Arabidopsis thaliana: one gene and its partners. The protein of the gene in region 1 purifies or fractionates together with the protein of each later gene. This does not show direct contact. Each region holds a gene or a part of one and is shown in the gene's direction. Other genes may lie near its edges.

Region 1 (6,916 bases):
AGCTGGGTTCTTAGAGTAACATGTCTGAGCTTAAAAATTCTAACTAGTTAGAATTGCTATCTAAAAAGTTGTTCGGTGTTAATTTAAATGCATTTATATATCTGACTTTACAGATGTTGTTGTGCAGGTGAACCCACACACGCATCAGCTAAAAATATGTGATTTCGGGAGTGCAAAAGTGTTGGTAAGTTTTATTGACACAGCTTTTAACGAATTCATTCTTGGAGTATGACATGTTCTCGTTCTCTGTAGGTAAAAGGAGAACCCAATGTTTCTTACATCTGTTCTAGATACTATCGTGCTCCAGAACTCATTTTTGGTGCCAGTGAATACACAACTGCAATTGATATATGGTCCACTGGTTGTGTGATGGCCGAACTGCTTCTTGGACAGGTTAAAGCATGATTTTTGCATTAGCTATATGTTGTTCTATTCATTCAGTTTATTCCTTGTCTTACTATTTTGTGCCCTTGCTAATTTGTCGTACAGCCTCTGTTTCCTGGTGAGAGCGGAGTTGATCAGCTTGTTGAAATCATTAAGGTAGCCTTTTATTAATTCTTTAAATTTATCTAAAATCATCAAGTCCTGATAAAGTGATAAGTTCTTTTAGAACTTTTGTTTACGTAGCAGACAGGTGCAGATTGTCAACTTTATATCTGAATGATTATTAGGCTTAGGCATCACAATTTGTTACGTCTATTGTTGAGTTCGTATTCAGTATAGAAGAAAGCAGTAACCTTTGGATTGCTCAGTCTGATTTCGAGGAAACCTTGGTTTTCTTATTTCATTTGCTTTGATATGTCATGCAGGTTTTAGGTACACCAACAAGGGAAGAAATCAAGTGCATGAATCCAAACTATACAGAATTTAAGTTTCCGCAGATAAAACCTCATCCATGGCACAAGGTATGCCTTCTAATGTTATTGATTATCACCTACCAGAATAATCTTTAATCAGTGGTTTTGTTGGTGAATGCATTTTTTCAAAGAGGAGTTCTGGTATTTGTGATGGTTTGGAGTATGAATCATTCAAGAGTAAATATCAAAAATAAAATTAATGTTGTCATTTCCTCTGCTTTATAAAACTATCTGTGGTAGAGTTGAAAACAATTGGCTAAATGATTGTGGCTTTAGTTCTAGTTTGAGTATTTCTCTCTGGTGGAAATGGTTTTCAGGATTTTGTTCTCTGACATTCTACAACTTGGTGGTTTGCACTTTGCATTAAGCTGTATCTAGGATTTTTTATTTTCCCATAGTAAAAAAAGGTTTAATTGACTTCAGTGATAATTATCTCCTTGAGCTTCGCTTCTCTCTGAATCCTTATTACTGCATGAATATTCTATTTATGCTCAGGTGTTCCAAAAACGTTTGCCACCAGAAGCAGTTGATCTTCTTTGTAGGTTCTTCCAATATTCCCCCAATTTGAGATGTACAGCTGTAAGTTAATTCGTTCCGTTCCCTCCATATTAGCATCTAATGATCTAAATTCATTAAAAACACTCTTCTGGTGTTATTGTAGTTGGAAGCTTGTATCCATCCGTTATTTGATGAGCTAAGGGACCCAAACACTCGTCTTCCCAATGGCCGACCACTTCCTCCACTTTTCAACTTTAAACCGCAAGGTACAGTTCCCTTATTTTTCTTGTTGGGCCTATTAAGAGATCTAACATATGTAGTATGCTCCGTTAAGTTGTTGACATGTTGCGTTGTGTTCATGATTGGTAATACATATAAACATCATTCAGTGTTAGTATATGCTCTTTGAATATTGAGGATGCTAAATAAATTGAACAAGTATGGTGCCGTTGTGGCCTCTGAAATATATGATTACTAAGCAAAATATATAAACACTTTGTTCTCCATAGACATGAACCTGTCATCCTTAACTTTCAGTACTTCAAAATCATGAACTGAGGTTTTATGTGTTGTTGCAGAGCTATCTGGCATACCTCCTGAAATCGTGAACAGGCTTGTCCCAGAGCATGCCCGTAAGCAGAACCTCTTCATGGCTTTGCATTCGTAAGACGCTTATCGGTTTTTGCATCTGTATAAGCAAGCTCTCTTGATATCAATATTTGGAGCAGCCAGTTTTCAGCCATTTGGCTTTTGTTTTTGGTGAGTTCTTTTTCTTTATTTTTTTTCTGTTTGGTTGGTTATATGTCGATGAGGATGCATGAATACAAACAGTACTTGAGGTTTGCTGGTTACAGACCACTTGTTTGTTTCACGGCCACCATATAACCTTATCTATCGCAAACTGTTTTAAAGCATGTAAATTACTAACCAAAATTAATTGCATCGTTTAGTTTTACAAATAGAAAAGAAAAATCAACTAAAAATTAATGACTTTGCCGCTCATGTGTTTGCACATTGTGTTTCTGTGAAAATCAAACCGATTCCTTCGTGAAAATAGCCGTGTCTTCCTCCAGATCGTGAATTTGGTACTTCATACTTACCGGTCAAAAGCTCAGAAGCAATATTTCAGTCATGGCGAACCGTATAGTATATATCAAGGAAAACCTCATAACATAAACAAAGGTTCAGAACTTCAGACAAAACCTGTTTTAGATGACAGAGTCATGGATCAATCTCAGCCCAACAACATTAAAACTTTTCAGCCCATCAAACCCACCAAGTTTAAATTTCTTTTCTCTCTTGAATCTTGATCCAGTAGCTGATCCGACAACGTTTTGATGTTTGGTCGAAACAGTTGAAGTCTCTTCCTCTTAAATGTGATTATCAATTAAAAAATATTATTTGACCCAAGATACATGGGTATTGGGCCTCCAAAAGTTTAAGCTTTTTAGTAACAAAATTAGGCCTCCAAAAAAATTTGTTATTGCAAAACTATATCCTATATTCTAAAATTTTAATATTTAGTCTCCATTTTTAAATTTATCTATTTTTTATTTTCTAAAAGTTATAGGATTTAGTCTTAATTTTTAACTTTTATCAACAAAACTCATTAAAGAAAAAATTATTTTGTATTGGGCCTTATCAGGACCGGCGTCTACAAATAATAATAGACAACAAAATTACACATACAATGAAGATGTTTTATTGGTCACGATTTGATTTGGTATTTATTCTTTAACTACCAAAAAAATAAGTAAACTCAAAAACAAGAAGGGAGGAACCACTTTAAACCCTTGTCTACGCTGGTCCGAGTCCAGAGTCCTCTACTTTGACAGTCTCCCTCCATGTCGTCGTTGTGTGCATCTAATTGCTATCCTTCATCTTCTTCTATCAATCTCTTCTCCAACAACAACAACCCAACTAAACCCTTTCTTCTCTCCCTCAGATTCGCCTCCTCCAATTCTCTTCCATTTGTTGCTCCTCTCAAATTCTCTACTACCAATCACGTCCTTAGTAACTCTCGTTTCTCTTCGAACCGAATCCAAAGACGCCTTTTTTTGCTCCGATGCGTTTCAGAAGAATCTCAGCCGTCTCTTTCTATCGGTAACGGCGGCTCTGGTAAATACCCTTTTGCTCATTATGAATTAACAAACTTGGTTGAATGTTATTGTAAAGATATCGAATTTGAACGCCATTGATTATATAGTAATATCGATTTCGATTTCTGCAGAAGAGAGAGTGAATGTTCTTGTAATTGGTGGAGGAGGGAGAGAACACGCCCTTTGCCACGCCTTGAAGCGGTCTCCTTCTTGTGATTCTGTGTTATGCGCACCTGGAAACGCCGGTATATCCAGTTCCGGAGATGCCACTTGTGTACCTGACCTTGACATATCAGACAGTTTAGCTGTCATCTCTTTCTGTCAGAAATGGAATGTTGGTTTAGTGGTTGTTGGCCCTGAAGTGCCTCTTGTTGCTGGTCTCGCTAATGACCTTGTTAAGGCCGGTATCCTCACCTTTGGCCCTTCTTCTCAAGCTGCTGCTTTGGAAGGTTCCAAGAACTTTATGAAGAATCTTTGCCACAAGTACAATATCCCTACTGCTAAGGTTTGCGTCGCTTTCTCTTTTTCATTTATCCCTGATGGTTACCAATTTCTTCCCTTGCTGTGTTAGGATCCATAAGGTTGCTATGTAAAGATTATAAGCTTTGAAGTGTTCAACTGTTAGCTATAGGTCTGCTTTAATCTAGCCTAGTACTTAATGTAGCAGGTTATAGCTGTTGTGAGTTGGTTAGAGAGCGGTTAGTGAGTGCTAGGTGTACTATGGTTTGGTTGGCTATGTGGTTGAGGGCTCGGTAAATCGGTGGAATAAAAGTAGTAGCAGATTCGTAGCTTTGATATTATCTTAAGGATTCCAATTTGATGTGGCTAATACGGTATTATTGAATGGAATTCAAATGCAGTATAAAACATTTTCTGATGCATCTGCCGCGAAAGAATACATTCAAGAACAAGGGGCACCGATTGTGATTAAAGCGGATGGATTAGCAGCTGGAAAAGGAGTCACTGTTGCCATGGAACTAGAGGAGGCTTTTGAAGCTGTTGATTCTATGCTGGTCAAAGGTGTGTTTGGTTCTGCAGGATGTCAGGTGGTCGTTGAGGAGTTTCTCGAGGGAGAAGAAGCGTCCTTCTTCGCACTTGTGGATGGAGAAAACGCCATTCCTCTAGAATCTGCTCAGGACCACAAGCGTGTTGGAGATGGAGATACCGGTCCTAACACAGGCGGCATGGGAGCGTATTCTCCTGCACCGGTCTTGACCAAGGAGCTTCAGGATTTTGTGATGGAGTCTATAATCCATCCCACTGTTAAAGGAATGGCTGAAGAAGGATGTAAGTTTGTCGGCGTTCTGTTTGCGGGTCTCATGATCGAGAAGAAATCCGGTTTGCCTAAGCTTATTGAGTTCAATGTACGGTTTGGAGATCCAGAATGTCAGGTGAGAAACGCCACCTTTTCTGAAAAAACCTTGTTTAGTCTCGGTATGATTATTGCTCTAAACAATGCAGATTATTGCTTAAATACAGGTATTGATGATGCGTCTAGAGTCTGACCTAGCAAAAGTTTTGCTAGCGGCTTGTAAAGGCGAGCTAAGTGGTGTATCACTTGATTGGTCAAAAGATTCAGCAATGGTGGTTGTAATGGCAAGCAATGGTTATCCTGGTTCTTATGAGAAAGGATCAATCATCAAAAACCTTGAAGAAGCTGAAAGAGTTGCTCCTGGAGTGAAGGTTTTCCACGCAGGAACGGGTCTAGATTCAGAGGGGAATGTTGTAGCAACTGGGGGACGTGTTCTTGGGGTCACGGCGAAGGGTAAAGACTTGGAAGAGGCGCGTGAAAGAGCGTACTCGGCAGTACAACAGATCAACTGGCCTGGAGGTTTCTTTAGGCATGATATTGGTTGGAGAGCTCTTCGCCAGAAACAAGTGGCGACCAAAGAAGAGTGATGAGAAGGAATTTTGTTGTAATGGCTTGTAAACCAAGAATCCAAAAACTTAAAACTCACTCCAATCTGTTAAGAGATGATTCAAAATAACATTTTTGTTTACATAATTTGTGTCAAGATAAGCAATGTAGGTTAAACCCCTCAAATCCACTTCAAAGCACAAATGATGAACTTAGGAAGCAGCAGACACTCTGATCTTTACGAAGTTTCAGTGGTAGTTTCGTAAAATTTCGCAAAGAAACATCTGAAATTGTATATTGTAAAGTTTGAGGTCGAAAATAAAACGAAAGAGAGAGATGCCAGTGGGTGCAAAATTCACAAACCCTAAATTTCAAAATCCCAAGTCTCCTTCCTGTCCAGCACGAATCAATGTTCCCCAAATCCTTAGCCGTAAGTAGAAAAAACTCGAATTTAACAAAAGGAGTCTCTGGTTTAAGAAGACTCTGTTCTTCTTCATCTACCATCACCGGGAGCCCTTGCCCACCTAGATATGACGTAGCTGTCATCGCTGATCTCATAGAGAAGCAGCACTGGTCAAAGCTCGGAGTTCATGTGACAGACATAAACCCTAACGAGCTGTTTCGACAGTTGATAAGTTCTGAGCTTGACCCAGATTTGTGTCTCAGGTACTATTCCTGGTTAGTGAAGAACAGTGACATCTCTGTTTCACTTGAGCTCACATTTAAGCTCTTGCATTCTCTTGCCAATGCGAAAAGGTACTCAAAAATCCGATCTTTCCTTGATGGGTTTGTGAGAAATGGATCTGATCATCAAGTTCACTCGATTTTCCATGCAATCTCTATGTGTGACAATGTTTGTGTCAATTCGATTATAGCTGATATGTTGGTATTAGCTTATGCGAATAATTCGAGATTCGAGTTAGGATTTGAGGCGTTTAAGCGTTCAGGTTATTATGGGTATAAGTTGTCGGCTTTGTCTTGTAAGCCTTTGATGATTGCGTTGTTGAAGGAGAATCGTTCTGCTGATGTTGAATATGTGTATAAGGAGATGATTAGGAGGAAGATTCAACCAAATGTGTTCACTTTCAATGTTGTGATCAATGCGTTGTGCAAAACTGGGAAAATGAATAAAGCTAGGGATGTTATGGAGGACATGAAAGTTTATGGGTGTTCTCCAAATGTAGTTAGTTACAACACTCTCATTGATGGGTATTGTAAGCTTGGTGGAAATGGGAAAATGTACAAAGCAGACGCGGTTTTGAAGGAAATGGTGGAGAATGATGTGTCTCCGAACTTGACTACATTCAATATATTGATTGATGGGTTCTGGAAAGATGACAACCTTCCGGGGAGTATGAAGGTGTTTAAAGAGATGCTGGATCAAGACGTGAAACCGAATGTGATCTCGTATAATTCATTGATAAATGGTTTGTGCAATGGAGGAAAGATCAGCGAGGCTATTAGTATGCGCGATAAGATGGTAAGTGCAGGTGTGCAGCCTAACCTAATTACTTACAATGCTCTTATAAATGGGTTTTGCAAGAACGATATGCTGAAGGAAGCTCTTGATATGTTTGGCTCAGTGAAAGGCCAAGGAGCTGTTC
Region 2 (7,093 bases), on another chromosome or scaffold:
AAAGCGCCTCTCCCTGCAAGGTTTAATCCAGAGAAAACGTTGATGGAGACATGGTGAGATGAATAGGGTGGTGTACCGGAAGATATGCAAACATAAAGTTACTCACCGAACAAAGTTCAACAAGTATGCAACCAATACTCCACAGATCACATGGATAGTTCCATCCAACCCCTGCAATAAACGTTCCAAACTCTTAAATACCATGACTACACAAAAAAATAATCATCTACGTAGATGTGTCAGAGTCATAAACGTTTACCTAGGATAACTTCTGGTGCGCGGTAATGTCTTGTGGATACAATGTAGTTATGGTCTTGATGTTCAAATGTTGTACTTCCGAAATCAATGAGCTTGATGGCACTTGACTTGGGCAGATTCTTGAAGTATGACCCATCTTTTGTGGGTCGGGATAGAAACTAGATTTTCATGACCACACATAGGAAAAGGGTCAAGAGTTATACAAGTTCCTTCATGGATGGATATCATATTAGCCATGAAAATAAATGAGTCCAGCTTGGAGATGATTGATTGCTCACCTTATAATCAGGTATTTTGATATATTCAGACGATACCAAAAGAATGTTCTCCGGCTTCAAATCCGTGTGGATCAGCCGTAAATCATGCATATCTGTCAGAATGGAATGAGCAAAGTCTGAGTACACTAGTCAACAAAAGTCTCCAGAAATAACTGTCTGAGCAATATGGATTCCATGGAAATTGCATTATCGAAAGAACATTAAGTAATAACTATTAACGCCTAAGTCTTGTATCAAAAAGTTAAGAAAAATGATTTGTGGCACTAATGGACTACTATATAGAAGAATGGGTCAAGAATATTCCACACACATGCAACAGACTCCAAAAGTTGTCTGCCAAGCTCCCGAACAAGATCAATGGGAAATGAACGGTAGCTGTTTTTGCGGAGAAAATCATATAAGCTTGGTCCAAGCTTCTCAAATACCTGTTGAAACCATTTAAACCCATGCGCAAGTTCTTTTAACTCACATAACATTTGGGCGTGAAGAAATTGCATTTTCCCCTCAAACTTGTCAAATAAAGGTAACAGCACTTACAATACAAATATGATTACGATAGTCAAACCAATTCCGTATTTGCACACAACTGCAAGGAATTGAAAAGCTTATACCAAATGTAATAAAATTAAAACTAGCGAAGAAATAGTAAGAGGAAAGAAATATTCTTACCGAGAACCACCGACATCATGCCTTGTAAGCCTCTGCAGCACGTCAATTTCGATCATGGCAGCTTCACGATACTTGTTTATGGACCGTATAACTTTGATTGCCACGACTTCTTTGTTTTTATTATCAAAGCATTCCAATACTTGTCCAAATGTACCTGCCAAAATACAATCCAATTGATTAAGATAACTGGCGACCAAATAAACATATTTCTCCTACACTTTGAAAAACAGAATAATCTAATCATAATGATTATATAAACATTTTCGCAAGAGATGACTAACCTTCACCCATTTTGCTGAGAATTTGATCTGCACGCACAATAGAAGAGGCATGTCAATGTAAACCTCCATGATAAAGTCTGTGAAACGTAACAGATAAGATGTCGAAAGACTCTGTAACATAAGACTCACATCGTGGAGTCAAAGTATCCCCAACAACAAAGACATAATGGCCGTCTTTATCATCTGGTCTCCAGGGAGGAGAGCCCTGACGAGGAAGGCCATTATAGAACATGTTTGGGTAAACAAAATTGGGAACTAAACCACTCGCAAACTCCGGACCATAGTACAACGGAGGTTGAAATACCTGAAAGAAAAAAACACATCAGCTGAAACTTAGCTCAAGCACACAAATAAAAATCTTAATTTCTTACTAGTTAACACAATTCGCAGTATCTTATGAAAACAACAAAAGAACAGTCCATTGATACCAATACAATATGTGGACAATTCGTTACCGTGGGTGGAGGAGGAGGAGGAAGAAGAGGCGGAGCAGCATCCCAAGTCAATCGGGGACGTTTCCTGGGACGCTTATCAACGATCCGATGAGGGAATTCAACATTCCTCTGAGTTTCTAAGATCATCGCGATCGAGCTAGCTTTATCACGATACACACTGCTTTGCATAAAGGATTAGAAAAATGCAAATCCAGAGCTGAAATTCAGAAACCCAGATTATGAACAGCGAGAGAATTGCGATTGAATTTCGAATCTAATTAGAGGGATAATAAGATTCCGAAATTCGAAACCCTAGTTATCTTCAATTTGGGGGGGATCTATCTCCAGAAGATAACTAAAAAAGGTGGGAAAAGTAACAGAAAAATATATTAAAAAAAGTGGAAGTAATGTAGCTAATAAACTAACCGCAAATTTCTCTCACACAGAGTAATTTAAAACGTTGAATTAGTCGCTGTCGTAATTTGATCGCCGGAATTCAGATCGGAGAAACAATAAAAATGCTCACTGAATTGGAATTGAAGAAAAAAATCTCAGGAGAAAATATTTAACAGCGAAAGAGACTGAAATGAGAGAGAGAGAGAGAACCTGAGGAAGAGAACAGCGAAGGAGCGACAGAGGCTCTGGAAGTTCTTAATGGGCTTTTTTAGTCAGGCCTTTATTAAATATATGTTGACTAAAGAAACGACATGATGTTATTACTGTTGAGGATAAAAACGACGTGGAGTTCAGTTATTTAATATCAGAACAATGGGGTGTTTTCTCCAAAGTCTTTTAATATGGAGGAGACGGGAGAGTCGTTGAACAAGAAAAATAATCTGAAGCAGCCATGGAGATAGCCGCCGTTAGCACTGTCTCCGTCGCGCCACAATCGCGCAGAGTGTCGAATGCGTTCTCCAGGAATCTAGGATCCGTATCTTCTCTTTCGTTTGGTTTCTTTGAGAAAGAATATTGCTTTAAGAGCCCTAGCCTTCGTGTGTCTGCAGCAGCTTCCATGGACGCCGTCACAGCTGAGAAATTTTCTCCGGCGAGTTTTCTAGACAAAAAAGAAACCGGAGTTCTTCACTTTGTGAAATACCATGGCCTCGGCAATGACTTCATTTTGGTACTTTTGTTCACCGTTGAATTCTCAATTTGGTAATTTAACCCGAAATGTATCGAATTCTTACAAATGTTTTCAAATTTTTCGTCTTTGGAATTGGATTTTGTAGGTCGATAACAGAGACTCATCGGAACCTAAGATTACTCAAGAACAGGCGGCGAAGCTGTGTGATCGAAACTTCGGTGTTGGTGCCGATGGAGTGATTTTTGCAATGCCAGGAGTCAATGGTACTGATTACGCAATGCGGATTTTCAATTCAGATGGTAGTGAACCAGAGGTGGGGCTTTTCGATGATAATGTCTGGTGATATGTTGTTGCGCTCGAAGTCATTGGCTTTTGATTTTGTTCTTGTAGATGTGTGGCAATGGAGTTCGATGCTTTGCTAGGTTCATTGCTGAGCTTGAGAATTTGCAGGGAAAACATAGGTATCTCTATCTGTATTGAGAAATATCTGTTTAGACTTGAGAGTTCCGAGTTTAGTCAAGCTTGATGTAACCTTAAGTGTCTATTTATTTGTTTTTGTAGTTTTACAATACATACCGGTGCCGGGTTGATTGTTCCAGAAATTCAAGATGACGGACAGGTAGATCATTTGGATTGATGTCTCATATTAGGTTTAGTCGTATTCATGATGATGGGTAAGGTAAAGTTTGGATTTTTATTTTTTGTGATTGATATTGGTACAGGTTAAGGTTGACATGGGGACACCGATTCTTAAAGCACAAGATGTGCCCACGAAATTGTCAGGGAACAAAGGTGAAGCTGTTGTTGAGGCAGAGCTAGTTGTTGATGGAGTAAGCTGGAATGTGACGTGTGTTAGTATGGGCAATCCTCACTGTATCACATTTGGTAAAAAGGGTGGACCGGTGCGTGTTTCGTTACTAGACTTCTAATCATATTATTTGTCTACACGTGAATTTCTTATCATTTGTAATTTTGGTTTGTGTCAACCAGAATCTGAAAGTTGATGATTTGAACTTACCAGAGATTGGTCCAAAGTTCGAGCATCATGAAATGTTCCCAGCTCGAACTAACACAGGTTAGTGGAGATTCATCGGCAGATGTATCCAGATTTCCATTGACTGATACAGCAAGACTTCTCGCTTATATTTGGATTTATATCCCTTTAGTTGTCTTACAGTTCTTTCTGTGTATCCGCAGAATTTGTTGAGGTCTTATCACGTTCTCATTTGAAAATGCGTGTGTGGGAGCGCGGAGCAGGTCCGCAAATTCCCCCCAATCTTCGAATATAATTCTCAGTTGATTATAAACAGTCTCTGTATCCTTATATGCTTAATGCTTACGCATACTTAAAACTGCAGGAGCAACTTTGGCCTGTGGAACTGGAGCTTGTGCTCTGGTTGTTGCAGCAGTCCTTGAAGGTCGAGCCGACAGGGTAAGTTTGGAATTTCAGAACTTAAAAAACTAGATAACAGTTTGCAAAATGGTACACTGGATTAGCAGTTTTTAAGCATTTTTTATGAAACCTGAATGTTGCATTGAATGGTTGGATGATTTGATTGGTAGACGATTGATGAGATTATGATTTTACTAAGTACTTTTCGTTCGCTTCGTCTCTTGTGGGAGAATCTTGTATTCGTTTTTTTTGGTTCTTCACTCTCACACAAATGTTTCTTGGATATTCATTGGAGCTTAAAGATTGTCATGAGCTGAGATTAGCTGCATGTGGTGACCTTGAGTTCCTCATATATGTATTGGTTTATGGTGGAACAGAAATGCACGGTGGATCTACCGGGCGGACCATTGGAGATAGAGTGGAAACAGGAAGACAACCATATCTACATGACGGGTCCTGCAGAAGCTGTTTTCTATGGATCAGCGCTGCTCTAATGGGCCTTCACAGTCGATGACTTCTCCTCTCTCTGTTGTTGTTCTTTTGGGGTCTGTGTGTTCTAATTCAAACGTGTGAAGCTCTTACCTGTCCTGCTAGATTGTGTTTCATGGATTTTGTTTATGTACTTTTATTGTTTTCAGAGTATCCAAACCTTTTGATTTGTTGCTGCATCTATGTTCATAATTTAAATCTTCTTTTCCTCGGAATATAGCTCTCTTCTACACTGATTCTCCACCAGACCAGACATTGTCAATGGCCGTGGTTGCACATAATGACAAGAGAAATGAAACTTGAGAGAATACAAAACCGCATATGTACATGATAAGATTGGTTAGCTTCCATATCTGCATAGATATTAGCTTATATGGTTAGGAATCAGGACAACATAACTGGTATCATAATATCTCCTAAGTATAATAACACAACTCTCATTAGTCTGATGTTAGCCTATCTCACACAAATATTTGTCAACGAGGTTTTACAGCGTGGAAAAAGCCACTGTCCAAGTTACTTCCAGGAAGTAAAGACAATGGCGAGGGTACAGAAGAAGATGACGGCGATGTTTTGGAGCAGAGTAATTTCGTTGTTTCTGAGAACATTTCGGGTTCTCGCACAGATTGGCAAATACCTTCAAGTTCTTTCACCACTTTTGACATTGGTGGTCTCGTCTCTGGTCTATCTTCACAACACCATAAAGCTAATTCCGCCAACTTCTTCACTTTATCGGGCGAACATTGTCCCATCCGACTATCCGCCACTGACAAAACCGTTCCACATTCATTCGCGGTCCTCACCTGTATCACATTGTACAGAAAAAACTCTTAGGAAATTTGTAGATATATTCAAAAAAACATAAACCTCACAGATTTAGCTACTCCATTATCAGATCTACGTGGGAGCTCAGTCAAGAAAAGTACCTCGCGGATAATATGTGTACCCTCAAAGAATGGGTGCATTCCAGTCAAAAGCTCAAGCAACACTACTCCAAAGCTGTACACATCACTTCTCACCGTCAATTGCTGAGTCATGAAATACTCTGGATCCAGATATCCCTGTGCATGTATAATTATCAAAATGTCATAGCTGAGAGGGAAACCATGTTTGGTTTTGTCAAAAGCCACAGGTTACATAGTATCACATATCGACTTGTGTCCTAGTTTAGAACTCACCGGTGTTCCTCTTACTACTGTTGATACATGGGCGGGCTCACCATCTCCCTCCCCAAAAGCAGGAGCCAACCGTGACAATCCAAAATCAGCAACCTTAGCATGAAGCTGACAGTCCAAGAGTATGTTGCTGGTTTTGATATCGCGGTGAATAACTGGCGGATTTGCTTCAGTGTGAAGGTAAAGAATCCCTTTAGCTGAACCTAACGCCACATGTGACCTCATGCTAAAGCTCAATGTGTCTGCAGCATTAGCTGCGTGACAATGTAAAACCACTGATACATTAGCATCCATGTGGAAGCAGATTGGCGCCTCAAAAATTTTAAGCTAGTTTCTGATCTTACATGTATAGAAAAGAACTTGGGAGGAATATTTCTTACCTGAAAGCCAATCACGCACATTTCCATTAGGCATATACTCATATACCAGCATCTGTGCATGAACCAAACAGAACACCTATGTGGATTAGTCGAAGAGCATAGATATAAAGCTAACTGACAACTGCACATGCAAAAGGACATACCTGTTCCCCGATGTCACTACTGTAGCCAATAAGCGACACAAGATTCCGGTGATGTAACCTCGAAAGTAGATCGATCTCATTCAGAAACTCTTTTTCGCTCTGCAGAGAAGTTTCTTCTCCTCGTTTGATGGCAACTTCGGTTTTATTTGACAAAATGCCTTTGTAGACCTTTCCATAGCTACCTCTACCAATCAGTGTGGAGCTGTCAAAACCATTAGTTGCATCCGACAGTTCTACAAAACTGAACTTCTTCACCCCTTTGATTTCCCGAGATATTGTTCTGACTGGAAGACATAAGAAAGAGTCCTCAATTTCATGGTTATAGGACACAACAAGATGAAATACTGACAAAAAGAGCCATTGCTGAGTTGCTTACAAACACGTTTTTTGGTGAGCGTATGTGAGTTTTCACGACGTTTCCTAACATATAGAAGTGTTGCAGTCACTGATAAAACAGTGGCAGCGACGACAGAGCCTGCTACTATCATCATCCATACAATCGTTCTAAT
Region 3 (6,947 bases), 8.0 Mb from region 1:
CCGCCTGGTGGCAATTGTCTTTCAGGAATTTAATATCCTTGTACGACTTCGTCTTGCAGGGTTAATCTCTCAAGCAGCAAAGCTAGGTGCACAAGGTGTGCCCTCATTCCGGTCATTTTCTTTTGAAGAGTTAAAGGAAGCCACAGACGATTTCGATTCATCACGTTTCTTAGCTTTGGAATTATGCAGGAAAATGGCTAAAACAGAGGGCGATGTGTACAACTTTGGATTCATACTTCTGGAATCTCTGATAGGACCAGTACCTACTACAAAAAGGAGAGGCCTATCTTCTCAACGAAATGGTATCATATAGGGTAAAGAAAAGAAGCAAATCTTCATCATTGTTAATAGCTGTTGCTGCAATGTTGTATTTGCAGACGTCATTTGGGAGCCAAGACTGTCGACAGAAAATAGGAAGTCCAACGGTCCTAACAACAAGCTCGCAGGAGTCTTTACCCAATTGCCATCTCAATCGCCAATAAATGTGTTTTGCTTGAACCTTCTGCAAGACTTCCTTTAAAGATGTTCTCTGGAACTTACCATATGCAGCTCAAATGCAGTCTGCCGCAGACGCTGAACGCAAATCTGATAAGTCGTCGTGAATCCAAAGGCTAACCTGATGATTGATAGTTGTTTTCGGATTTATAAATGTTATGTTTTATAAGTTTGGTTTTTCAGTAGAAAAATGTAATACTCTAGCGGCTAAAAAACATAGTTTCTTGTCTCTCTTGAAACTTTATTCGTTTAACAAATATTGATTGAAGAAGATGTTGAGTTTTGTAGTTGGCGAGAACTTCTCAATCTTCAAGAACAAGGTACTGAGGCAGGAGACTTGTCAAATGTTCTTGGAGAATTTTGTCTTTGAATTGCAGAATCGATCCCAAATATTTTATTATTATAAAAGCTACAAGAATACAGTTTCTAATACATGTATTAGCAAAAAAGTAACAGTAAAACCAAGGGCTACACACTTTTCTTAAACAGGAACTTTGGAGTCCACTGATTTGAGAACCTCCTCACCCATTTCCTTGCATCCCACCAGTTTCTGCATTTTCAAAACACAAAAAGACTTCTTTAAGTATATTGTCATTAACTTATACAAAACAAAAGACAGAAATCATCATACACATACATTTCCGGGGGAGTAGATGTCTCCGGTTCTGAAACCTTTGTTCAGAGCATCCACGACCGCGTCTTCAATCATCTTTGCAGCCTTTTCTTCTCCAAGTCCATACTTGAGAAGCATCGCCGCACTGAGAATGGTGGCCAATGGGTTTGCCTTGTCTTGTCCAGCTATATCTGGTGCTGAACCATGTATAGGTTCAAAGAGTCCAGGTCCCTAGTTTTCATCACAAGTTTAACAATCAATATATGATAATAATAAACAGAGGAACCTTGAAATATTAGATTTAGTCTTACTTACCGATTCACCAAGACTTGCAGATGGAAGCATCCCAATGCTACCAGTGATCATTGAAGCTTCATCAGACAATATATCACCAAAAATGTTATTGGTGACGATTGTGTCAAACTGCAATAATGTTTTTAAAAATGCCGTGAGTACTACAAGTTCCACTTCTGTGTTAGCTTAATCAACGGCTAAGCTTTATATATGCGCGAAGATCACCTGTTTCGGGTCACGGACAAGCTGCATCGCAGCATTATCGACATACATATGTGATAGTTCAACATCTGGATATTCAGAGGCTAAAGCTGTTACTCTTTTCCTCCACAATATTGATGCCTATACGAAACAAAACAAAAAAATAATTGTATAACGAAAAACACACAAGAGTGGAGTGGAAAAACAATTCAAAACATACATCCAAGACATTGGCTTTGTCAACAGAACACAGCTTGCCACGCCTTTTCCTAGCAGTCTCGAATGCAACACGAGCAATTCTGTCAATCTGAAGAAGATAAAGCAATGCATTAATACACATACATTGTCACAGAGCAGCAGATTGTGAAGAGTAAGTAGTACCTCGTGAGCAGCGTAGATCTCTGTATTAAAACCGACTTCTTCGCCATTTTCGTTGATCGTAATGCCTCTTGGCTCTCCAAAGTAAATACCTCCAGTGAGCTCCCTTACAATCATCATATCAACACCTTGTGCTACTTCTTTCTTCAGTGTGGAAGCATCAACTAGCTGAACAAGCAAAAACAGAAAAATTTGAGTATATTTACAACTAGAAAGCAAAGTGATAAGCAAATCAATACCTGTGGTAAAACTGTAGCAGGTCTCAAATTAGCAAAGACATTGAGATCTCTTCGAATGTTAAGCAGACCCATCTCAGGTCTCAGATGTTTCTCATTCTTGTCCCATTTGTACCTGAACAAAAAATCATCATAAAGAGAATAAATTTGCTGAAGAAACAACACACACACGCATTACACATACCCTCCGATAGCTCCAAGAAGAATGGCATCAGACTGTTTAGCAGCAGTGGAAGTTTCCTCCGGCAATGGAACTCCGACCAAATCCAAAGCTGCTCCGCCGAAAGGCATCTCCTGGAAATCAAACTCTAGTCCTTGGAGAAATCCAGCTTTCTGAAGCACATTCTTAGCAACAGATATAACTTCTGGACCGATACCATCGCCGGGAAGCAGAGTGATGTTATACCGTTTTTTCACCGGTGAAGCGGCGGCGCACCTAATTCGATACGGCGCACGAAACTTATGATCGGTGAGAGAACTGTATCTTCCCGGTATGATCTCCAGACGGATGTTAGTTTGCAAAAACGCCGCCATCTTTTTTTCGAGTTTAGGGCACCACCATCGGCAAAAACTAACCATTTGAGTATACTACAGAGACCGGTTATCTCTGGTTATTTGTTAACCTGATTTTGGTTCAATGTTCTCATTAATTTCAATTTTAAGTTCTATCAGCTTTTTGGACTCTCTCATGTCCACCATCCGTTCACTTGGCCGCGTTCATATAAACCAAAAACCGAACAACAACAAAAATTCGAAAATTCTCCGGCGACACCAACAATGGGAAGGTCTCTAATATTCTCTGGAAACATGTCATTGAGAATCTCTCACTTACCCAGATCATCTCTTCCGCTGCAAAACCCAATTTCAGGCCGGACAGTGAACAGAACTTTCCGATATCGGTGTACGAGGATTTTGTCTAATAGCTTCAAGTCCACAACGAGACTTCAAACCAAAGCTGTTCTGTCTGAGGTTTCTGATCAGACGCGATATCCCAGAATCGGCGCTAAAACCACCGGAACTATATCTCCGGCACACCTCCTTGAAGTCGTTGAACTCGCCGCTAAAACCGGCGCTGAGGTTCGAAATTTCATGTCTGTAGAATACAATATCTGAATTTATGTTTATTGGAAACAAAAACTCTTGATGAGACTTGAAATTGTGTTCAATGGTACTAGAATCAAGTTCTTGGGTTCGTAGGGCACAACTGCACAAGGAGAATAATAACAAAACTAACTTGAATTGAATCATCTGGTTTGTTAGGTGGTTATGGAAGCTGTAAATAAGCCAAGGAATATTACTTATAAAGGTCTCAGTGACTTAGTAACTGAGTAAGGACTTCTTCACCTTTTAAAATTGTTAGCTTGAGGTTTTAACTATGTTCATGTTGACTTGATTGGTTGAAGCTATTAAAGTTTTAGTACTTTTGATGAATTTGCAGTACTGATAAAGCAAGCGAGGCTGCTATTTTGGAAGTAGTGAAGAAGAATTTTAGTGATCATCTTATTCTTGGTGAAGAAGGAGGTATCATCGGCGATTCGTCTTCTGATTACCTCTGGTGCATTGATCCTCTAGGTTTAGCTCTCTTTACAAATCTCATTGCTTTCTTTTCATGTGTTTGTGTGGAATCTCTGAGATTTTTAGTATTAGTCTCTTAATTCCTTTATGCATAGATGGAACTACAAATTTTGCTCATGGATATCCCAGTTTTGCTGTTTCCGTCGGTGTTCTGTATCGTGGAAATCCCGCCGCTGCTTCTGTGGTAAATCCAATATATACTTGCACAAACCAGCTAATGCTTGTTAGTTCCTATTTGCTGATTCTTTGGTCAGTAGGATTAACAACAAAATCTCATCATGCAGGTAGAGTTTGTCGGTGGTCCGATGTGCTGGAACACTCGAACCTTTTCTGCAACTGCAGGTACTATGTGACAAGCTTATGTTTGGCTATATATCTAAATTTTGTCTAACTAGTTCACTTCTTAGGTGGTGGAGCATTGTGTAACGGGCAAAAAATTCATGTCAGTAAGACCGATGCTGTAAGTAACTTATCAAGAATCCAATTTTAAGTTTCGACATGGTGTGTTCAATGGTTTTGGTTTATTAGATATTTATTCGGGTTTGAATGAAGGTGGAGAGAGCACTTCTTATCACAGGGTTTGGTTATGAACATGATGATGCATGGAGCACTAACATGGAACTGTTCAAAGAGTTTACTGATGTGAGTCGGGGAGTGCGAAGACTCGGTGCTGCTGCAGTTGACATGTGTCATGTTGCACTTGGGATTGCGGAATCATATTGGGAGTACCGTTTAAAGCCATGGGACATGGCTGCTGGTGTTCTTGTAGTCTTCTTCATCCTTCTTGTTGTTTTTTTCTTACTAAAGTACTTAAGTTGTAGAGCTTAATCCATGTCAGAAAATGGACACAGATAGTTGAGGAAGCTGGAGGAGCTGTGACTCGGATGGACGGAGGGAAGTTTTCTGTGTTTGATAGGTCTGTTTTGGTCTCCAACGGCGTTCTTCACCCCAAGGTTTCATGAACTGTTCATACTTTTATCAATGCTTTTAATCTGTTGTGCTTAGAGATCAGGTCTCACATATTTTTTGTTTAATCGGTGTAGCTTCTGGAAAGAATTGCACCCGCAACTGAGAATTTGAAGTCGAAAGGAATCGATTTCTCGTTATGGTTCAAACCGGAAGATTATCATACAGAGCTTTAAGACTTGTTCAAGAAAGGTATATAAGATTACATTGTTATGATCTAAAGCTCTTATATTTGAACTGAAACGAGGTATAAGATTTGCGTTCGGATTATGAAAATCAATAATGATCATATTCCCCCTTACACTTCTTGAACAAAGGCTTCGTGGATCAACAGACCTGTCTTCCATCGTCCAGTCCACACCTCATACAGACCAAACTGAAGCTTAGTATCTTGGTTAAGCGCTGTGGGACTAACCAAGATTTCAAACAGGCCATCGGACTCGTCAGGTATATTGACGGGTTCTGATCCACCTTTCAGTATACCAAAGTTCTGGCTAACGGATTTGATTCTTTTCCACACTGTCTTGCCTTTCTTCCCGATTTTAGCAGACATGAAAACAGGGGCTTTGTCCCAACCGGTCGCATCCGGTTTAAACGAGATTTTAAAACCGATTCGATATGTTTTCCCGGGTTCAATCTTGTCGAATGAACCGGTTACTTCTAACCAACTCACCATCTTCAGCTCAGCAGGCATCCTAAAACCAACAATCAAATGAATCAGTTTAAGATTTTTGGTATCAGTAAACCAAAGTTGGGTTTATCGGTTAAGTCGGAATGAATCGGATGATACCTTGGTTCTTTAGGGATAACCCAATATCTCGAGTCACCTCCCCAAACAAAGTTAAGACCACTCGGTTGTGAAATCCATGCTTTTCTATTGTTCTGCAGAATTTAACAAGGAAAATACAAAAGCAAGATAAAACATTTTTAATCAAAGTTTGGTGATTTCATTTAAAAAGATGTTGCAAATTATCTTCAATAGCAAAGAAAAGAAACTCACATCTTGTTCCATTTTGGAGTCTGCCTTATGATGCGAACTCTTTTGTGAAGACATTTCTTGATTTGCCTTTTTTACAGTAGAGAAATAACAAAACCATATCTCTCGAAATGAGCTTTATGTAGAGTATTTATTTTCTCATGTCAAAAATTCAAAGTAAGATTGTGACAGAAGAAGGAAAAATAAGTAATTTACACAAAATCCTGACTTTTCTTTCGTTGGAGGGACAAAGTTAATAAAAATGCTTCAACGGCCAACGAGAGGGAAAGCATATATCCACAACTTGTTGGTCTTAATGTGAATAAAGAATCTGAGAATCAAACAGAGCAATTAAATGACATAAATTTTCTTCAAGTGCCAAGCTTATTCTTTCCTTCTCTTTTTTCCATTTTCTTTTGGACTCATAATCATTTTACTCATTTACTCAAGTTGTATCTCTTTTATAATAATCTCATTATTCACTCATTGCTGAAACGATTAGAGAAAGTTTCAAGCTTTTGGTAAAAAAATCGTTTCTTTCTCAATAATTACATTAGGGTTTTACACTACTCTTTTATAGACATTGTAGAAGGAGCTAGATATGGAACAGTCTAGAATATGGCAGATGCTGTGTAGCTGGCTATGGTGAGTCATCAGGCAAAACGCCCCTCCTCTGTACGATCGTTGCTCTGTTTTGAGCTGGAGTCTATTTTGTCTTCTTCTATTTGACTGGGCTGAGATGGGCCTTTTGTTGTTGTTGGGCCGGTTACTTGTTTGTTGCTCACACTCCCCCTCAAACTTGGAGTGGGTGAACCAGACACACCAAGTTTGCTCCTGAGATCAACAAATGCTCGGCGTGGAAGTGACTTTGTAAACACGTCAGCTAATTGAAAGGTAGCTGAAATGTGTTGTGTTTCGATCAGACCGAGTGCGACCTGCTCCCTGATGTAGTGATAATCGGTATCAAAATGTTTTGAACGATTGTGGAGAGCCGGATTTGCAGATAGGTACACTGCGGAGAGGTTATCACAGTAAACTTGTGTAGGAAGATATTGGGGAATGCCGAGATCTCGCAGTAAGAAAGAGATCCAAGTAATTTCTCGTGCTGCATAGGTTAGAGCTCTGTATTCTGCTGCGGTAGAGGAATTAGACACTGTAGGTTGTCGTTTTGCCGACCAAGAGATCAAGTTGGAGCCTAACAAGATGCAGAATC
Region 4 (10,136 bases), on another chromosome or scaffold:
GAGAGAGTGAGAGAAACAATGAAAGATAAAAGATTGTGTGTGAGAACTTATAAGTGTCTTTGGAGGACTCTAGATATATAGATTTTTCTCCTTGCTTTTACAACCCTCAAATTGGATGGTAACAGCTTTAAATTTTTGTCTTTGTTTCGCTCCTAAAATACGAAAAAGAAAGATATTAGATTAATGTTGTAATTTTAAATCGTACCGTTTGTTGGACCGAATCAGAAGTCTCTAAACTAATTTTTTCTATTTAAAATTTGGTGCGATACAATAATTTTTGTAAAATTTATTTTTAATAGTTTAACTTTGTATGATAGAGTTCAAAGATTCAATTCTTACAAATTATTAACTAATTTAATTATCTAATTGAAAAAAAAAATTCTTCATAATTATTTATTAAGTCAAAAGTAAAAAAGGGTAAAAAATCCGTCTACAATACTTAATTAGGAAAAGATTTTGTAGTCAGATATCTTACCTTTTTATACTTTAGAATTATAAACATTAGCTACCAAACATTTGAATATAATAATTTTGTAAACACTTTGTTAGGAAAAGATTTTGGCAGTAAATGTATATGGTATTAGATTTTTTAAACAAAGAAAATAAGATTTTTCTTTATATGATTGTTTTTTAATTTGGTATTTTTTAATAAAAATGATTTTTTCATTATTGTTTTTATCTAAATAAGGATTATGGAGATCAAATGAATTTTTTTATCTTATTATATAAAATACATTTCAAGACATTAATTTATTTATTTTTTTCGTTTTTATCTTCAAATTACATTTTTTTTTTAAACTCCTTATATAGTCATTGTTTCCCTTTTATTCTTCTATGATCAGACAAATATCTCTTTAACCATTTAACCTAAACGAACAAGTTTAACAATTGTCTTAGTTCAATGAATTCGAATTATATTTTAAAAATATATATTTTAACTTATAAGTAAAGTATTTCTAGTCATAGAAGCATAAAAAGAAAAACTAGAAACTCAACAATAAGAGAATAATTTTAAATCTAAATTATAAGACAAAACCAATAAAGCTTTTAAAATATGTCTTAGAAGTTAGAACAAATGAACGATGAACTGTCTTGAGATGGATTTCACATAATATGAGTATATGACACATAATCTCTTAAAGTTTTGATTGATTTTCATTCTTTCGGCTGTTGAATATGCCCCGGCCCTCACTCTTGTAGTACAATCTTTTTATCGGTACACACTGAGTTACGTCACTGTCGATGTCAATATCCATTATGGTGGTTTTAAATCATGAGAAAGAATCGAGGTTAATATCAGTCGATTAGTATGAAAATCGAACTGATTTACAAAGATAAAAGATTGGAATTAAAAAAGGCTCTTGATCTATTTTCTAGCTTGTTTTCTAGAAAGAAGTGACCCTGGTCTATACGACCTCCTTAGTCAATCCATGCAAATCATAACGTCCCCATCTCGATGTCTACCAATTTAACGTTTCCTTTTTAATTTGTTAGATATGCCCGTTTTATTTTGACTTGCTCAAACTGTATAGGGCCATCACGAGCTAAACTGATGTGACTTGGGCCTGGTGAGAGTCATGAAGCTCCGGAATGTTGTAGCTCGATGTTACCTATATAAGCTTTCTTTATGGGCCTTGAATAGGCCGAGTTCAAATGTGAGAATCCAACACCAACAGCCACTTAGAACAACTTTTCAAGATTGTGTATCATCTACCTCTTCGGCCATATTAAGAATATGTGTAGTTGGGCTTCGGTGAGACTTATGAGTTGGGCTTGCCATGACAATCCCAGATGTTACTTTTCTCTTAATCCCTAGGAAGAAAATCTTTTGGTAACTTCAAATCATTATAAGCGCAAATAGCTAGCTACTATGTCTGATGCATTTAGTTACTTTGTGCTGAGGATTGGGGTCTTTAATGTGAAATCGAAAGTTTAGGGTTTCTCGTGGATATTAGAAAACGTTAAGGTTGGAATATAAAGGAAAAGATTAACTGAAAGAGTCTGCATAGCACACTCCAGCTTAATTCCGTATCGTTTTAGGATTTCTGACTTCACTCTTTGACGGCTATATATTAATGTGATTTTCCATTATGTCAAATGTTAATTATTATTTTTTAGATAAGTTTTCGTGAAAGTTGAAACGGTGTGACTTGTGAGTGACGAATGTATAGGAAGAAACTGTGGAGGTGGGTTCCGTTTAAGGCTTTGGTGGTGTGGAGATTAGAAGTCATGGCCGCCATTTTTGAGTCACGCACGTGTCCACCTACCTTACCTTCTTATAACTTATTCATTCATGTGTTCGATAAAATATATTTGATATTAATTTAAACATACAACATAGAAGTGCACAATTACAAGAGTTTTTTTTGTTTTTCTATTTTTGTCGCTACAAGAGTTTTTAGTTTTTACTTACGTTACGTATATGCAAACGCAAGCAATTCTGCATCTATTTGTTTTTCAATGGCAGCCATAATTGATATCAAATAAATAAATTACTAATGCCACATGTTTTTTTAGCACAGCTTCATAATTCATAGGAGTATCGATATGTAACACAATAATGGATCTTGTAGTAAAATTTGAATAGAGTCAATTAAAAAAAAAAAAAAAGATAGAGTCAATCTGTGCGATATAATGAAATTAGAACGAAGCTCGAATTTTAAGATTTTAAATTATAACAAAACTCAAATGTGTTATAACATTCAAAAAAAAAAAAAAAAAAAAACTTAACACAATAATTAGTTTTTCTCATTTTGAGAAAACCAAATTCTCGAAAGTATGTGAAAAATACCATGGAATTTGAAGGATTTTGTAGATTACCAAATAGTAAACAAAATTTCTAAACTTGTTTTACTATGATTTTGTCACGAATACAAAATCAAACTCAGATAGAGAAATTAGGTGATATATAGCCATAATTGTGTTTACTACTAAAAATACAGTTATTTCTAAAAATAAGGTAAATGACCACCATGGTACCATACTATTCCATGAACAATATAGACAAATAGCCTTCCATTGTTATAATTGGGATATTGTCAAATCCATCCCGTATCTATATATATTATTATACACAAGTAGAACTTTTGATGGTGATTCATTATCTACCATTCACATGTTTTTGTATCATTAAATTGTTGATTATAAAAGCAGGATTTGATTCCACCTACTAAGAAGTAGGAAATATAAAAACATAACGCCAATTTTCGTTCATCAGAACCAAGATTTTTTTGTCGACACAATCAAACCAAATAGATAATGATACTGTTTTTTATAGTAGTATATATATTTCTTTTCCTATAGAGTATTTTATCTGAGGTCATGTGGTTGGTTAGTGACACACTTTTCATTATTTTACGTTCTAAATTAAATATCGTAAAGTTAAACCTCGTTTAAAGTATACTATAAAGAATAGAAATATCATTAATTCATTATACACACTATAAAGTTAACCTTTGTTTAAACTACTAATAAACTGGTTATTTAAAAAACTATTAGGGTTAAATTTGTGAGAAATGGAAAAGTAAGAGGCAAAAAACGAAAGAATCTTTTATTACAATGATTATTAATTTTATCAACTTTCTTTTATAGACAGCTCAGCTCCACTGATCGGCTCATGCTCCACTGATCAACTTTCTTTCATTTTTTTATCAGTTTCTCATTTCTCTCTCAGTCGCATATAAATTTGAAACGCCGATTCGTTTTTGCTCTTTAAGCTTTCTTCTTGATTTCGACGGTGTCTCTCAATCTCCGTCAAGCTTGACGAATTTCAGGTGTGATTTGCTTCTCTTCTTCTTCGCTTTCTGGACTTGTGGATTTTGGTTTTTGATTGATTTGTTCTGCTTTTTTTTTTTTGGTTGAATCTTCGCTTTTTCTCATGATTTTTTTTTGGCTGTTGCATGATTTTGGTTTTGTTAGAGTCGAATTTTTGCAGATTTTTGCTTTGATTTGATTTTTGTTGTTGTTGTTGTTTCTGGTTTGGTGATACACGAATTTTGATTTGTTCTTCCAGATGATAGTTCAATTCTGTGGTAGCTGCTGATTCTAATTATGTGATATATGTTATTAGAATTGAGAAAAATGCAGTTATTTGTGATTTCTCATAGCTTATGATGAATTGTTATAATTGCAGGAGCTATATATACCATGGCGCTCTTGTCTCAAGCAGGAGGATCATACACTGTTGTTCCTTCTGGAGTTTGTTCAAAGGCTGGAACTAAAGCTGTTGTTTCGGGTGGCGTGAGGAATTTGGATGTTTTGAGGATGAAAGAAGCTTTTGGTAGCTCCTACTCTAGGAGTCTATCTACCAAATCAATGCTTCTCCATTCTGTTAAGAGGAGTAAGAGAGGGCATCAATTGATTGTTGCGGCAAGTCCTCCAACGGAAGAGGCTGTAGTTGCAACTGAGCCGTTGACGAGAGAGGATCTCATTGCCTATCTTGCCTCTGGATGCAAAACAAAGGACAAATATAGGTACAGTTTGATGCTTATATGTTCTGTTAAAATGCTACTTAGTGTTTGTAATTGTGACATATTTCTTTGTTTGTGCTCTTTTACGGTGTTGGTATTGTTTGAATTCATCCAGATTGTTTGTCTATTGGAGAAATATTCTGTTTTGCTAACTTAACATTGTGAGTTTTCAGAATAGGTACAGAACATGAGAAATTTGGTTTTGAGGTCAATACTTTGCGCCCTATGAAGTATGATCAAATAGCCGAGCTTCTTAATGGTATCGCTGAAAGATTTGAATGGGAAAAAGTAATGGAAGGTGACAAGATCATTGGTCTGAAGCAGGTTAACATTCTCCTGTGTTTCATCTTTTGAGCCGTTTATTATTTATATACATTTTCAGCCTGTAGAACATGTTAGCTTCATATACAACACAATGATCGGTATATTATAAGGTTTCAGTCTTTTTTTTTTTTTTGCTGTAGATAACTCGTTCTGTCCTTTTGTTGACCAGGGAAAGCAAAGCATTTCACTTGAACCTGGGGGTCAGTTCGAGCTTAGTGGTGCACCTCTTGAGACTTTGCATCAAACTTGTGCTGAAGTCAATTCACATCTTTATCAGGTAATTTCAAAGATAATTATTGCCAATGCTCTCACCCTAAAACGTGACAAATAACCAACTATCTACGGATGTCACAGGTAAAAGCAGTTGCTGAGGAAATGGGAATTGGTTTCTTAGGAATTGGCTTCCAGCCCAAATGGCGTCGGGAGGATATACCCATCATGCCAAAGGTATGACGCTTTCTCTATTCTTAAGATTGAAGAAAGTTAACATCTGTTTGTTTCTAATTCAGATAATATTATCTGATTCTACATAGCCAACGTTCGGATTATTTCTTGGTGTTTGTGTTAAGTTTTCCTATGACGAGTCAGGCAGTAAGATTTGACATAGTGTAATGTGTTCTGTGCAGGGGAGATACGACATTATGAGAAACTACATGCCGAAAGTTGGTACCCTTGGTCTTGATATGATGCTCCGAACGTGTACTGTTCAGGTTAGATTAATATTCTGACTTTGCGCCTTTTCATAATTTCCTTAAACTAAACTTTCCAGTTCTCATCAATAATCTTATTTTGAAACTTATAGAAACTGCATTACTTGCAATCTTGACAGGTTAATCTGGATTTTAGCTCAGAAGCTGATATGATCAGGAAGTTTCGTGCTGGTCTTGCTTTACAACCTGTGAGAAGCTCGATCTCTTTGTGGCATAACCAGAAACTTTTATTAACGATTTTGACTAACCATTGCCTCACTATTATCTAAATTCAACAGATAGCAACGGCTCTATTTGCGAATTCCCCTTTTACAGAAGGAAAGCCAAACGGATTTCTCAGCATGAGAAGGTATCTAGATTCAGTTGTTATGATCCCCGATATCTTTTTGAATTAGTTTCCCTCCCACCTTATAACTCTGGTATGTTTTGACAGCCACATATGGACAGACACTGACAAGGACCGCACAGGAATGCTACCATTTGTTTTCGATGACTCTTTTGGGTGAGTATCGATGTTTAATCTATGAAAAACAATTACATTACATTGGTTGGTTTGGTATGAGAAGCTTCTCAAAAACCAATGACTCTGTCTCGCATTCTTGATGAGTTATTGGAAAATTGATATGTGCTATTCTGTGGATTTTCTTACATATGTTTGTGTTCAAGATAGAAAGATGCTTTGGATCTTTATCCTTCTCTTGAAACAGCATGGCTAATCTTAATTTTATTGCTCTCTTTTGTTCTTATCTGGTATAGGTTTGAGCAGTATGTTGACTACGCACTCGATGTCCCTATGTACTTTGCCTACAGAAAGAACAAATACATCGACTGTACTGGAATGACATTTCGGGTCAAAATCTATCCTTAATCTTTTCTGTTAGGTTCTATAACTGTTTCATTGCAAGGAATTGGCAAATTGAAAACCATGGGATCTTCTTGAATTATATCTAATCTCATAATATTCTTCATGCTGCAGCAATTCTTGGCTGGAAAACTTCCCTGTCTCCCTGGTGAACTGCCTTCATATAATGATTGGGAAAACCATCTGACAACAATATTCCCAGAGGTTAATCATCTGCCTCAAGAGTCTTTCAATCAGCCTATGACTTTCATTTCCCTGTCTTATGTTGAAGTCTGACAACGTTCCATAACACTAGGTTCGGTTGAAGAGATACTTGGAGATGAGAGGTGCTGATGGAGGTCCCTGGAGGAGGCTGTGTGCCCTGCCAGCTTTCTGGGTAACTACATCTATTAGCACATATATATTTCGTGCTTAATGAGAATGTTTCAAAAAGTATTGACTGTTGTTTTGATTTTATCTACAAATTTCAGGTGGGTTTATTATATGATGATGATAGTCTCCAAGCTATCCTGGATCTGACAGCTGACTGGACTCCAGCAGAGAGAGAGATGCTAAGGAACAAAGTAATAACAAGACGCACCACATTTACATTTTCTTATTCCACAGTTAGAAAACATCTTGTAATAAACTAATACTTGATTTCCAACAGGTCCCAGTTACTGGCTTAAAGACTCCTTTTAGGGATGGTTTGTTAAAGCATGTCGCTGAAGATGTCCTGAAACTCGCAAAGGTGTGTTTGTATGAACCCTCTTAGAAACTTCGAGCCAGCTTTCTATCCCGTCTGGTCCAGCTTCTAACTATTGGACTTATTTTCTCTTTGTTTCTCAGGATGGTTTAGAGCGCAGAGGCTACAAGGAAGCCGGTTTCTTGAACGCAGTCGATGAAGTGGTCAGAACAGGTAAATGAAGTTTCCTAATGCATAATTGAATTCCACACCGACATTTTGTTTGATAACCTGGTGGTGAAATTTGGTTTTGAAATGACAGGAGTTACGCCTGCGGAGAAGCTCTTGGAGATGTACAATGGAGAATGGGGACAAAGCGTAGATCCCGTGTTCGAAGAGCTGCTGTACTAAGAAAATGGGACGTGAACAAAAGGTGTCTATAAACCTTTGGGTGTGAGTTTATGCTATCTGAAGAATTCGAGTCTCCGGAATAAGGATTTTTTTTTTTGTTGTAATCGGATTTTAAAAACTGATTTTGTTTTAGAAATTCGAAGCATTGAAAAGCAGAAGAAAAATTGTATGTACTAAACGATTTCGGTGTGGGAAATCGTTTGGGAGGGTGTGTTTGGATCTTGAATAAATTACCCATTTTTCTTGTCACAAATTTGTCTACATTTAACGAAATAACTCAAAACTGATTTCAAGGCAAAGGCGACGGATGGGATAATCTAGGCTGTGTAGTGGAAAGTTTTGATGTTTAGTAATTTGGCAATGTATGTTTTTTTCTAAATGGGAGAGCATCTTCGATGTAGACATTTACGAGCTTTTCCTTTAATAGGTTTTGGCTAGTGAAGAACACTGCTTTCATAATTGAATCCACCAGACTCCGCGTAAACTAAACTGATTACAACACGATGATCCTGGCCGTCGGTAATTATCGTAAAACAAGAAGATAGTGGCACTTAGGTGACAGGATAATATGTAAACCCTACCAAGGCGTCCCTACAAAATGATGAGTGATGACTGATGAGAGTGAGAAAAACCGAGTCTCCACAGTCCACACACTGCCTTACCTAATTAATATACCCACCTTTCATTCATGTATGTTACGTCAACGTTTTTATGTCCGTTAAAACTGTAATCTACATAAGAGATCATAATTTTTAAAATCTCCATGTATTTCGTTGATACTTTAATTTGGCACGTTTCTAGTTTTTGAGATCAAATGTTTTTAATCTGCTTCTAGTCTTATTTTTCCTAAACCTTAAACTGTAAACCAATTGCTTTTTCACATAACCTTGCTTGTTTTCAATTTTAAAATTTAAGTCCAATATTTGAAACAACCTAACAAATGTCGTCTATGGCAACCAAAAAAAAATAAAAAATCAAAACAATTTGCTAAAAAGGAAATTGATTAAAATTGATTTCTTTCATTTAAATTGGAATTTAATATATTAGGTAAACATGTAAACGCAATCGCAATTTTTATGAGAGACTTCGGGCCGGTTCGTTTAAGTGTCGCTGCGACTATAACTAGCGACTGGCTTTAAAAACGACTGAGTTTTGTTTGTTTTTATTGTTTTTTTTTTAAGTTCGAATATGTCGTATAGATCTGTAAAATAATTCAAATGTGGCTTTGTCCCATAGATTGGTTTTGATTATGCAATCATCTATCACAACAGTGGAACATTATGCAATCATTTATTGTCTATCAAATTAATTATGGTTATGAAATATGAAGGATCTTACATCTTAAAAAGTGTTAATTATGATCGCATGCCATTTAGATTCTTTCAAAAATTCAGTTTGAAAGTGGAAAGCGCGCCAAAATTTGCAGAAATCAAAAATCCGTTAAAAAACGTTACCAAAAAAATATTTTAAAACGGGCCAAAATATTTCAAATGTGGATTCCATAGATTGGTTTTGATTATGCAATCATGTATTACAACAGTGGGTTGAAATCACTTCTCCTACCTGATCATTAGCTTCAAAAGTGCCTTGGCTACAGTAATAGGATTTTTCATGTATATGAAAATATTAGTTCAAATGGGAGACAATCTTTTGAATTGGTATAGAGGTTGTCAGGTTGATCAATGATTCAGGGGAAGAGTGATGACAAATACTAAGAAATGATCCAGGAGGTTGTCATCCGTTTTCCTATTAATAGAATTGGATAAAAACTTATTTGACTTCTAAATATTTATTAGGTTGAACATTTTCTCAGATATACTATGAAAACAGTCAAACAAAGGATAGTCAAATTTGCATCCGTGCAAAATATTTATTGTGTAGAAAATTAGAAAGCAACTCTTTAATTAGTTTCTTCACTAGCCTAAATATATTTCCCCTTCTCACTGTTTCTACTTTTGATTGATTTACTTATAAATGCCGATTGAGGCAACATTCCTCCATACTTCAATTTCTTTCTTTCCGCTTAAGTTAACGATTTGGAAAAACATGAGCGAGAACTCTTCGATTACAGTGGATCAGCCAACAACGTCTGTTTTCTTCTTCTTCTTCTTTCTTATTTACAATTTATATTTTCTTGTATTTATCAATCTTGGAGTCTTGAATCTAAACAATATATATAATGATCTCTTTTTCTTCAATCATCACAGAGAAAATGGTAATGGCCAAGGAGAGCAGGTGATTCAATTGGGTAATATGCCGCCTCCTCGTAAGTATATTTCCAATCTTCAAAATTAGGGTTTCTTTGAGGGATCTTGAAAATGTCATTTTCACCTCTTTGTAGTGTCACCACCCACCGCACGCAGAATCCTAGTGATCCCGCATGGAGCCGTAAGTAGTTTATTTTCCTCCATTAGTTCTGTTTCCATACAACTTCTTCTCCTCTTGAGTTTTCTAAAAGAGATGTTTTGAACCTCGACCAACAGGAAATTGTCAGTGTACTGGCATATATTTCTAGGGCTTCTCGTCAGGCAGTCTACATCTTGTCAGGGAGGGGATGCGTTTCACGAGCCAACTTGGTGTCGTTACCAATCCGAGGAAACCGCATGGTAAGTGTTTTAGTCTTAATCATTCAATAGAAGCTTTTTTAGTTTCCAATTGTTTCTCTGATTCTGCTTGGCTATATATAGGGTATTGGG

The links.
Region 2: the proteins of PUR2 (region 1) and AT3G53580 fractionate together in Arabidopsis thaliana (co-fractionation; one large-scale study listed by BioGRID). This does not show direct contact.
Region 3: the proteins of PUR2 (region 1) and IMPL1 fractionate together in Arabidopsis thaliana (co-fractionation; one large-scale study listed by BioGRID). This does not show direct contact.
Region 4: the proteins of PUR2 (region 1) and GSH1 fractionate together in Arabidopsis thaliana (co-fractionation; one large-scale study listed by BioGRID). This does not show direct contact.

What each region holds. Positions count from the first base shown.
Region 1 is NC_003070.9:3,191,220-3,198,135, reverse strand, and holds PUR2 (Glycinamide ribonucleotide (GAR) synthetase), read left to right. Parts: upstream 1-3,091; 5' UTR 3,092-3,199; coding exon 3,200-3,473; intron 3,474-3,585; coding exon 3,586-3,959; intron 3,960-4,314; coding exon 4,315-4,845; intron 4,846-4,933; coding exon 4,934-5,353; 3' UTR 5,354-5,568; downstream 5,569-6,916. Other genes in the region: SK41 (shaggy-like protein kinase 41), read left to right, coding at 128-184, 253-393, 490-540, 810-905, 1,353-1,436, 1,519-1,621, 1,934-2,022; AT1G09820 (Pentatricopeptide repeat (PPR-like) superfamily protein), read left to right, coding at 5,722-6,916.
Region 2 is NC_003074.8:19,862,017-19,869,109, forward strand, and holds AT3G53580 (diaminopimelate epimerase family protein), read left to right. Parts: upstream 1-2,614; 5' UTR 2,615-2,767; coding exon 2,768-3,043; intron 3,044-3,149; coding exon 3,150-3,317; intron 3,318-3,394; coding exon 3,395-3,465; intron 3,466-3,565; coding exon 3,566-3,623; intron 3,624-3,726; coding exon 3,727-3,906; intron 3,907-3,994; coding exon 3,995-4,079; intron 4,080-4,201; coding exon 4,202-4,261; intron 4,262-4,362; coding exon 4,363-4,436; intron 4,437-4,774; coding exon 4,775-4,891; 3' UTR 4,892-5,118; downstream 5,119-7,093. Other genes in the region: FC1 (serine/threonine-protein kinase AFC1), read right to left, coding at 1-13, 107-171, 260-416, 537-628, 847-961, 1,074-1,122, 1,206-1,359, 1,487-1,513 and 2 more; AT3G53590 (LRR receptor-like Serine/Threonine-kinase), read right to left, coding at 5,363-5,689, 5,813-5,947, 6,065-6,315, 6,442-6,493, 6,585-6,868, 6,961-7,093.
Region 3 is NC_003070.9:11,141,867-11,148,813, forward strand, and holds IMPL1 (myo-inositol monophosphatase like 1), read left to right. Parts: upstream 1-2,905; 5' UTR 2,906-2,994; coding exon 2,995-3,294; intron 3,295-3,477; coding exon 3,478-3,545; intron 3,546-3,655; coding exon 3,656-3,789; intron 3,790-3,887; coding exon 3,888-3,976; intron 3,977-4,076; coding exon 4,077-4,134; intron 4,135-4,199; coding exon 4,200-4,252; intron 4,253-4,344; coding exon 4,345-4,557; intron 4,558-4,643; coding exon 4,644-4,745; intron 4,746-4,835; coding exon 4,836-4,934; 3' UTR 4,935-5,056; downstream 5,057-6,947. Other genes in the region: IMD3 (isopropylmalate dehydrogenase 3), read right to left, coding at 977-1,045, 1,133-1,339, 1,424-1,531, 1,628-1,744, 1,824-1,910, 1,985-2,149, 2,221-2,332, 2,402-2,796; PP2-A9 (phloem protein 2-A9), read right to left, coding at 5,057-5,452. UniProt on the Arabidopsis thaliana protein: Phosphatase acting preferentially on D-myoinositol 1-phosphate (D-Ins 1-P).
Region 4 is NC_003075.7:12,100,762-12,110,897, reverse strand, and holds GSH1 (glutamate-cysteine ligase), read left to right. Parts: upstream 1-3,202; 5' UTR 3,203-3,773; intron 3,774-4,132; 5' UTR 4,133-4,146; coding exon 4,147-4,472; intron 4,473-4,642; coding exon 4,643-4,793; intron 4,794-4,962; coding exon 4,963-5,070; intron 5,071-5,147; coding exon 5,148-5,240; intron 5,241-5,419; coding exon 5,420-5,503; intron 5,504-5,622; coding exon 5,623-5,691; intron 5,692-5,781; coding exon 5,782-5,852; intron 5,853-5,936; coding exon 5,937-6,005; intron 6,006-6,259; coding exon 6,260-6,353; intron 6,354-6,479; coding exon 6,480-6,569; intron 6,570-6,660; coding exon 6,661-6,741; intron 6,742-6,835; coding exon 6,836-6,928; intron 6,929-7,014; coding exon 7,015-7,095; coding exon of another isoform or gene 7,096-7,119; exon of another isoform or gene 7,120-7,193; coding exon 7,194-7,263; intron 7,264-7,351; coding exon 7,352-7,440; 3' UTR 7,441-7,537; exon of another isoform or gene 7,538-7,799; intron 7,800-8,590; 3' UTR 8,591-8,763; downstream 8,764-10,136. Other genes in the region: AT4G23090 (uncharacterized protein), read left to right, coding at 9,415-9,527, 9,648-9,706, 9,782-9,828, 9,924-10,046, 10,128-10,136.